2 linked regions of the Caenorhabditis elegans genome follow. The protein of the gene in region 1 interacts with the protein of each later gene in a pairwise test. Each region holds a gene or a part of one and is shown in the gene's direction. Other genes may lie near its edges.

Evidence for each region.
Region 2: the proteins of smg-4 (region 1) and smg-3 interact in a two-hybrid assay, tested with the Caenorhabditis elegans proteins (one study listed by BioGRID).

The regions. Positions count from the first base shown.
Region 1 is NC_003283.11:9,775,188-9,779,855, reverse strand, and holds smg-4 (UPF3 domain-containing protein), read left to right. Parts: upstream 1-2,110; 5' UTR 2,111-2,113; coding exon 2,114-2,253; intron 2,254-2,306; coding exon 2,307-2,632; intron 2,633-2,684; coding exon 2,685-3,193; intron 3,194-3,531; coding exon 3,532-3,663; 3' UTR 3,664-3,921; downstream 3,922-4,668. Other genes in the region: F46B6.4 (Hflx-type G domain-containing protein), read left to right, coding at 339-400, 446-616, 663-1,374, 1,462-1,596, 1,645-1,971; UPF0587 protein F46B6.12, read left to right, coding at 4,056-4,058, 4,192-4,338, 4,387-4,468, 4,543-4,652.
Region 2 is NC_003282.8:6,369,775-6,375,147, reverse strand, and holds the start of smg-3 (MIF4G domain-containing protein), read left to right. Parts: upstream 1-2,058; 5' UTR 2,059-2,060; coding exon 2,061-2,321; intron 2,322-2,368; coding exon 2,369-2,547; intron 2,548-2,602; coding exon 2,603-2,814; intron 2,815-2,863; coding exon 2,864-3,093; intron 3,094-3,145; coding exon 3,146-3,238; intron 3,239-3,282; coding exon 3,283-4,155; intron 4,156-4,206; coding exon 4,207-4,553; intron 4,554-4,986; coding exon 4,987-5,361; intron 5,362-5,373. Other genes in the region: hrpf-2 (RRM domain-containing protein), read left to right, coding at 366-598, 647-840, 891-1,551.

The DNA.
Region 1 (4,668 bases):
TTTATGTATATCCTATGATCCTATATCATGTTCCCATTTTTTTTGTCCGTTCAATAGGTTCTCCCAACCATATCAATTGTATTCCTGTAACTTGAGTTTTAGGCATATCCCAGCCGATTACAAATATTGTTTTATGGAAGAGTTAGTCTTGAAACTTATTTTCCCGCTTTTCGTACCCATTAGAATTTCAATTTTTGGTTTTTCAGTTCGAACCCCTTCTGATGAAGTTTCAATCGTCTTAAAATACGCTTAATCTGATTATATTTGGTAATATATTCCGTGTATAGATTTTTACTTTGTTAGAAATATGAAAGCAGCTTCTCAAATATTATTTCAGAATGTTTATTCTACGATTATCAAGGCAGACAGTTTTGTCATTTCGTAATCTGAGTATTGGTAGGTGAGCAGAATTTTCTATATTTCCAAAATTTTATTGATCTCTCAGTTCTGAAGTGGCAGCTCCTTCTGCATTTGCAAATGATAGGTGGTCAGTGTTAGTTGTGCATCCAAAGGTTCGATGGGGATCTGGATCAGCTTCAGTATTGAAACAAGCAGATCGACAACTTGAAGAAGCTGTTGCACTTGTCGATAATCTTCCAAATATGAATGCTGTTGAGTAGGTTTTGGAATGATATTAATTGATATAACTCATCTAATTTCAGCAGTCTTATCATGCCAGTCGACTACAATACAAAAAGGAAAGCTGTTTGGGCGTCTGGAAATTTAGAAAAGTTGATTGCTCGACGAGAAGCTGCACGTGCCACTGCATTAATGGTGAATGTTGATGCATTGAGCCCATCGCAGCAACAAGAACTCTACCGAATTTTCGAAGTTCCTATTTTTGATCGATACAACATTGTTTTGGCAACTTTCAAACAATTTGCAAAAACTGAAGAAGCTCGGATTCAGATTGCTATTGCCGAAATTCCGTACATCAAACATCGAATTCATGCTCTTTCATCGAAACGATTGCATTCACGTCCGGATATTCTACACATTGACTCACACTATTCCGATATCGATGGCGATCTGAATGAAATTCTTCGAAAACGAGAGCAAGACCTACGTAAAGAGCTAAAAGATGTGACTCGGAAAAATGTTGGACAACTCGGTGTGAGAAATTCATCAGACGCCGTTGTTGCAGTTGTCGGATACACGAATTCTGGAAAAACTAGTTTAGTGAAAAAACTGACTGGAGCCGCATCCCTGACGCCGAAGGATCAGTTGTTTGCCACATTGGACACCACACGCCACTTGGCAAAGTTACCTTCTGGTCGATCAGCTGTGTTTACTGATACAATCGGATTTTTGAGCGATTTGCCAATGCATTTGATTGCGGCATTCGAAGCTACGCTGGCTCATGTGAAATCTGCGGTGAGTCATGAGTCATTGAACAAAAAGTTTTAATTCGTTTTCGAAATTCAAATTCGTTATAAAAATCGTGATATTTATTTTTTGTAGGATGTGATAATCCACCTTCGAGACATTTCCAATCCGGACTGGAAAGCACAAGAAGAAGATGTTCTGGCAACACTTAAATCCATTGGAGTTACAGATTATGTACTCAACGAAAGGATAATTTCTGTTGATAACAAGGTGATATTTAGAAAAGTTTTCTTCCTTTTCCTAATTTTTATTGTTCAGATCGACAAAGAATCTGCATTTCCCACTTCCGAATCAAACAATTCCGTACGAATTTCGTGTAAAACAGGTGATGGTATGCATGAACTCATTGATGTTATCAACGATAAAGTTACAATGGTTACAAAGTGCAAAACGATTCGACTTCGTCTGGATGCTCGATCACCAGTAATTGAATGGCTTTATCATAACGAATTAGTGGTCATTGAGCCCACCATCGATGGAAATTATTTAATTTTTGACGTTGTTATGAACGAATCGGAAATCGGTCGATTCCGTAAAAAATTTGCTCATTTAAAAAAGAAGAACTCACAATCTGTTTCTCTATAAAATAGTAATAAATATTTTTTATTTATTTTACAACTGCTTATTTGTTTTATTCATCCGGTCTGCACCCGTTAAATTAATTCTTGATTCTTTTAAAAATGTAGTAATTTTTATTATTTTTATTATTTTATTTATTATTTTCAGAATGACCGATTCAAAAGACGGTCATGTGAAAGTCGTGTTGCGTCGTCTTCCAAAATACATGACGGAGCATGAAGTTCTTGAACAGATTAGTCCACTACCAGAAGAAGTCATTGGAACCTATTTTCATCCTGCTAACTTTTCGTGTGTTCTAAAAATTTGATGTTTTGCTTCTAAAGTCATAAACATTTTTTCAGGTTCGACCGATGTGCTTATGCAACGCTTACAGTAAATTTTTCCGAATACTGTGATTCAATGATGGAATTTGAACGGCGATTCGATGGATACATTTTTGTCGATTCTCGTGGAAATGATTCTGCTGCAGTTGTTGAAGCTGCTTCCAATCAGAACTTTGCAAAATGTGATCGTAATCGAATGAAGGAAGATACACGTGTTGGAGCTATTCTCACTGATAAATACTATTTGGATTTCTGTAAGAAGCTTGAAGAAGAAAGAGCTATTCCAATTCTGACTCTGGAACAACAAATTCGGAAACTTAATCAGCCTGATGATGCTAGAACTCGTTAGTATTTGATTTTTCTTAAAATATTAAAACATCATTATTATTATTATAGAAATCGATAAAATGGAAACACCACTTGTCAAGTATTTCTTCGAAAAAGAAACTGGAAAGCGGAGAGATTACGATGCTCGCAGACAGAGACGTGACGAAAAGAGAGCTGAGAAGCGTGATAAAGTTGATAAATTTGAAAAGCATAAGAATGTTCTGGATATCCTTATGAAGCCCAGCGTTCCGATGGCTTCAACGTCTGCAACCACGTCGAAGAAGGATTTGAAGAAGGAAAAACCTATGACAGAAAAAGAAAAAGAACGGTGGGAGAAGCAGGACGCAAAAAGAAAAGAACGAAATATGATTCGCAAACAAAAGTTTCTTGATGAGAAGAAGAAGAAACATGAAGAGCGGGAACAAGATGGACCACGTGTTCCAAGAGATAAAAAAAAGGAACGTCTCGCAAAACCTCCCCGTCCATCTCCAGCTAAAACTGTTGGCGAGCAACAAGGCGAGGATTGGATTAAGAAATTAACTGATCCGAAGTCAGCTCCAATGAAAAAGAAACACGATGTAAGTTTCATTTTTCATTTCTCAAAATTTTTATAAGTTCTGAGCTTGTTTGAAATACGAATTAAAATGATCAGACATCATATTAAAGTACATACTTTTTAAAACTTTGTCTGGTCAAAAAAAATGAAAATTGCTCTGTTTGATATTAATAACTTTGAGGTTGACCAAAAAGTTGTTTTCTACAAATTATATTCAAAAAATCTAAATAATCTGAATTTTTTGAAAAATTGACATTTTGCCAAAACTTGAACCGTAGGTTCTAGGAACTATTTTACTGAGATTTGATGAAATAGTTCACTTTTTTCTGAATAAAAAAAAGTTACTAAACTCTTTAAAAGCTTTCAGTCACCACCAAACTGAATAAGGAAACCGATACACGGCCACGAACGGCACCATCTTCTACAAAACTCCCAACTCGTGCAACTACGTCCAATCATCCAAAACGTCCATCCACTGCACCGAATCATTAGCAATTGTTGTTAAAGATTAATGTTGATTATAAGAGGAGTAAATGGATTTTTTTTGTTTGATTGTGAAACCGTCATAATCGTTTTCTATGTGCTACATTTCTAATATGTTCACTTATTCCATTCTCTGTATTTTCGATTATCAAACATTCGAAACTCATCTTATGATTTTCTACCCTCCATTATTACAGCTTATGTACTCGTTTTTTCCCTTTTTCCTTACTCGCTTTATAGTTTTGGAAAATAAATTATAAATACATTTTTTGTGTTATGCTATTTCATTCTAACGGGAAGTCCCTGTGGGAATGTCTCCTCATTTTCTTGACAGCCTCCGTCAATTCTTCACTAAAGTGTTGTTTAGGTGACCGGAGGACGAGACCATCTGCGCGTACAAAATGGTAAGGAATACCAATTAGAATGTGCTCGGAGAGACATAAGCACAAGTTTCTTCCGCGCGGATAATTAGGGTTGACTTTTTCTATTTACGAACAAAGCAATCCGATAATTAGCATAATAACTTGAGAATTTCAGCCTTTTCTTGCTCTCGAACTGAAGTGTCAATTGAAAGGTATCACTGATCTTCGTCCGGATGACACTGATTCGTTTCATTGGCACATGAAACTTAAGTGTACTAATTGTGGTGAAGCTCCAGATCACTGGCAGTATGTAGTGCTCAATGTGAGATATTTCTAGAATGTTTTCTTTTAAGAAACAAATCTATTTTAGGAGATGCTTGATGTTCCAGGAAGTCGTGGTGAGGCAAATCTTGTGGAAAAATGCAAGCTGTGTGGAAGAGTCAACACTTTGAGTGAGTGAATCTTAAAATATCTGGGATCAAAGTTTTGCGAGAAAATCAAATTAAGTATATATAAACATTTTCAGCCATTGTCGAGGATATGTTCAAAAGCTACAACATCGAACAAAACGAGAAATGGCAACAGATTGCAGTGTTCGATTGCCGTGGACTTGAACCGTTTGATTTTGATCCGAGAGTACGAAATTTTGAAT
Region 2 (5,373 bases), on another chromosome or scaffold:
CATTTCTCAATGAAATTATTCAGTTTTTCGCCAATCTTGCCCTTCCTTTTTCTCATTTTTCTGATAAAAAATAGAAAACGAGACAAAATTCGCAAGAAAAGAAGTGATTTAATTCAAAAATGCAAGAAACAGCAGCAAAAATTAAATAAAAACTACCATATACTCATTTTCGCGCCAAGACCCATCTGAATGAGCCTTTATTAAAACATGTCGAAATATTTGAAAAGCAAATCTGCGCACATTTCTGTTACGGTGCACATCAAATTTCAACATTTTAAAAATTGTCTCTTGAAATGCTCATTTAGTTTACTATTTATTGATATAACAAATCTTGATAATAAATATTTTCAATTTTTATTTTACAGAATACTCGGCATCTTACGAAAGAACTGGAATTCGCCCACTGATGTCCGTGGATTCAGGATATGACCACGGAAGACGAGGTGGTGGTGGAAGATACGGCGACAGCAGCTATGATCGTGGTTATGATGACTACAATCGTGGAAGTTATGGCGGACGTCGGGATTATGGATACAATGGTGGACACGATCAAGGAGGTCGCAGTGATTATGGAAGAGGAGGCGATGATCCGCTGAGGGTATGAGTATTTTTCTGCGATTGTAAAATAAATTATTTTATTTTTCAGGTGTATATGCGTGGTCTTCCTTATGATGCTGATGATCATGCTATCGCTGCTTTTTTTTCTCCACTTCGATGCCATTCAGTCAAAATAGGAATCAACGAAACTGGTCGTCCATCTGGAGATGCTATTGCGGAATTTGACAATTACAACGATCTTCAAGTCGCTCTCTCGCGTAACAATCAAAGAATGGGAAGACGGTAATTTGAAATTTATAATCAGAACATGGAATAATTATTGTTATTTGTAGATATGTCGAACTGTTTGATAATCGTGGAGCGCCTGGTCCAATGCGTCGTCTTCTTTGGAAAGAAACAAGTGGCACGAATGCATCAGCTGCTCCAGCGCCTGATCCGATTCTTAACGGAGGAAGACGTGGCGGAGGGCCACCACAACGAGACTCTGGCTACAGGGCAGGTCCTCAAGCTATGCCACCATCATACAGAGAATCAAGGGATCCATATGGCCCACGGGAACCACGAGGATACGATATAGAACCCAAATATGAACCACGAGGCATCCCACCACGCAGTGCTCCAATTCGTGCACCACCAGCTGCGCATGGCCGGGCTCCTGATACGTGGGGAAGTTATGGAGCAGCATCTACTGGTCCGAGTTATGATCAGAGCAGTGCTGCCGGAGGTTATGCTGCAAGCTGGGATGCTTATTATGCTTCACAAGCACAGTCTGCGTATTCTGCAGAACCTGCATCCACATATCCCACAGCTGCTCATTCTGCATATGGATCAGGCGAATCATATTCGTATGGAGCATCTGCTGGAGGAGCTTACGATCGTCAAAGAGAACCTAGAGACTCACAGCCAACATGGGCTCAGCAACAACAACCGTCTCATCACAGTGCTTATGGAGGATGGGGAGCTGGAGCTGGAGATCATCGAAGTGGATATTAATTATCTTCTTTTTTTTCTTTTCACTTCTGACTTCCTTTTTTCTGTTCCTGCCAAAATCCCAGTTCTTTCGATTTTCCAGACAAATGAGCATTGTTCCTTATAATCTAGTGTATCACTTTACTTTTTTCTCTGTTCTCCGAGGTCTCGGTTATTTATTATCTTGTTCTCATGATTTTCCAACGCGAACGTCTTATTTTACCTCTGTTCTGTTCAACTATCAAAATATCATGCTTTGATCTTCCTACACAATTTTTATTAATTAATAGATTTCTGAATTTGAGACTTTCATTGTTTTTTTTTTCTGTATCCTTTTTGATATTTAATGGCTGTTCGCCCCGCGTTTTAATATGTTACAATTTGGAAATTCTTATTTCTTTTTAATTAGGAAATGAGACATGGATAATTATTTCACTTCTTGGTTGTTTCATAGAATGTTGGAATGTTCAATTATATACTTGAGTGTACACTTTATTTTGTAAAATGACGATTCTCTATCACAGTCTATGCAGATGCGGCGAAAAGTCGAGACATCATGGCTGGAAGAGCTGAAAAAGCGTGTAAAATATCAAGAAACAAGTCGTCTTCAAATGGTCGAGATTCGAGAAACTTTGCTCGATAACGAAAAAGAATTGCGAAGTTTAGATTCAACATTGAAAAAGACGACGAGTTTTATGAAAAAAGTGAAGCTTCTCAGTGCGGCCACTGTTCCACAATTAATTGAAGAATTATCGAAATTGAATTTAAGCAAATTTGTTGAGGAAATGGCGTCGGTGGGTTCTTGATTTCGAATTCCATTGAAAATCGGATAATTTTTCAGGGAATTATAGAGACAAAATTGAAGTTATCCGATATTCCGAAAGTAACAGAGCTCTGCCTTGCAATTTCTGCGAAATATTCAAACTTCAGTGAACAGATGGCTGGGGAATTCAAAAAAGTTCTTCCTGTTAAAAAGAGTGACAAAATTGCAAATGTTGCAAAATTGAGAGTGGATATTATGTTAGATTGCATTAATAAGACAGTTTTCATCTGAGAATAAATAAAATATTTCCAGCTTCCTCGCTGAACTTTGCCTGTGTGGAGTTTTCAATGAAAAGGAAGGACTTCAAGTTCTCGGTGCTGTATTAAGTTATTTGATTCAAACAGATAAGACTGATTTTGTCAATGTTGGATTATTGGCTACAGTATCTAGAACTGTTGGATGGCAAATTGCAAATATTGTGCCAATTCCAATGGATGATGCTGAAACGGTCGAGATTCAAGACGGTTGTTATCTTTTTAATCAGGAGCGTATATTCATTATCAATGTTTTCAGAAGAACTCCCTGAGTCATCAGCTCTCTCAGTTGAACAGAAAAAGTCGATTCGTGAGCTCTTCAAATCATACTACGATTCACTTTATTCGAAAACCGAGAAAACGTGTTCGGCAAGAAATAAGGCGATGAAGAGAGTTAAACGACAGGAAAGAAGCCGTGGAGACGCTGGTGATGAGGAAAAGACAACTTTGAATGATCTTCAGTCTGAATTGGATTCTCTGCGGAAAATGGTACAAAAATTAATTACCCAATAGGAAAATTTGAGAAAACCCCTCATTTTAGGCTATAGAGATATCGTCTGCAATCGGTGTGGAAATGAAACCGCTAAAAGAGGAAGCTAGTGACGATGAAGAGGATGAAGCTGCCAACTTGGAGGTTTTTTGATTCGACCAAAAACTTGAACTTATTCTATATTTCAGATGGGACGCAAACTTGCAGAAGGAGCAATCAAGCTGTGGAGTGATGAAGAGACGAAGGCATTCTACGAGGATCTTATCGATCTTCGACAGATGGTTCCCAAGGATCTTTATAAAGAATCTGAACAGAGAACTCTCAGCAAAGCGAAGATGGCTGAAAGGATTGAAGATGTCGATATGGAAAATATCAATGAATCCGGAGCAATGGATGCGAAGAGATCATCATTACAACGTGGAGAGTCTGAAAAGGAGACGACACCAGAAGATTCTCAACTTCAAGCTCTTCTCAAAGAAGCTGTGGATGCATCCGAAGAACGAGGAGTCAGCAAATGGCAAAGTTTTGTACTTGATTTGGATCATCTTGTCAGCAAGTACTCAACTGACCAAGCAGCTATTTATTTTGTTTCGAATCTGAATAATAAGGGTTGTCGCAAGAGGCTTGTGAAGCTTATGATCGATCCACCTCCGTCTCGGATCGATGTTGTTCCATTTTATGCCCGACTTGTCGCTACTCTCGAGAATGTGATGCCTGATTTGACAACTGAAATCGTAACTCAACTACTCGAGAAATTCCGCGGATTTTTGCAACAGAAACCATCGTCAGCTACTGCTATAATCAAAGTGGAATCAAAGATGGTTTGCGTGATGATGATAGCTGAACTGATGAAGTTTGGAGTAATTTCTCGTGCTGAAGGACTCAGTTGTTTGAGACAACTTGTGTATGATTTACGTGGACATTCTGTAGAAATGACAGCGACATTCATGGAATCTAGTGGTCTTTATCTGTATAGACATACTGAATCACATGCAAAAATGAAGAGATTATTGGAAGTTGTGAAGGCGAAACGAGAACGAATGAAAGATCAAAGACAAGCGGTATGTTTAGATGAACTACATCATAATATTAATTCAATTTCGATATTTCAGATGCTCATAGACAATGCGTATTTCACCTGCCTTCCACCAGAAGATTCAAAAGAAGAACGTCTTCGTTTGAAGCTAGACGAAGAGGATACTCCAATGAAACGATTTATTCGTCACATAATTCTGGATATCAATGAATCAACCGTTGATGTTTTCTTAAAATGTCTTCGGAGGCTTGAATGGTATGATCCAGAAGTTGCTGATTATGCAATTCGTTATCTCTCCTCCACGTGGCTTCTTCCCATTGAAAATCTTCAACACGTGGCATCTGCGATTGCTGGTCTCTGTAATTTGGTACATCTTCAATGGATTGGAATGGCTGTAATTGATTCAACAATTGAAACTATTCGGTATGAACGATTTTCGATAGAGATGTGCGGCACATTTACACAGAAATATATATATAACTTTTTTTGTACTTTCTGAAAAAAATTGCTCTCAATGAAAAGTTTCGAGGCATTGCCCATTGATTCAAATCAGGGGTGTGCGGCAAATTTGCCGAATTTGCCGAACTTGCCGAGCTCGACAAATTTTGAGATTTGCCGCACACCCCTGATTCAAATATTAATACTGCATCGTACGGTTGTGTTAGTTTTTGAGCAACTTCCCAAAACTTTCAATTGAAAGTAACATTATTCTTAGAAACTATACATGTTTATCTTTATTTCTATTAAAATTTCCGAAAAAAATATTTCGGCACGACAATGAGAGAATATCGTTTTGTAAATGTGCCGCGCATCTCTCGTTTCCAGTTCAAGCAGCAAGCATAAGAGTTATTTCCAGAATATCCTTGGAAAATCCTGGAGTCTACAATCAATGGGCTCATTCTGCCGCCGTTTATCTTGCAGAGCTCTACAGTTTTGAGCTGTGTGATGAAGATCTAGTCTTGAAGATTCTCTATCAACTGATTTCATATCCAGAACCAGAAAATTCGTGGCGAGACCTGCACCGAATTCGAATGATTTGTGCTATGCTGGAAATTCTACGCGAGTTCTTCATGAAAGGCTCGGGAAAAATCAAAATGCGATATTTCCTATCATATTTCCATCGTTACTATTACATCAAAAAAGATGCCTGGGATCAAGAAGTTGCCGAACAACAACCGAATTCGGGAGGAGAAACGGGAGAAAATCAAAATCCTCTCGATGTTCAGACAAGGTATATTCAAAA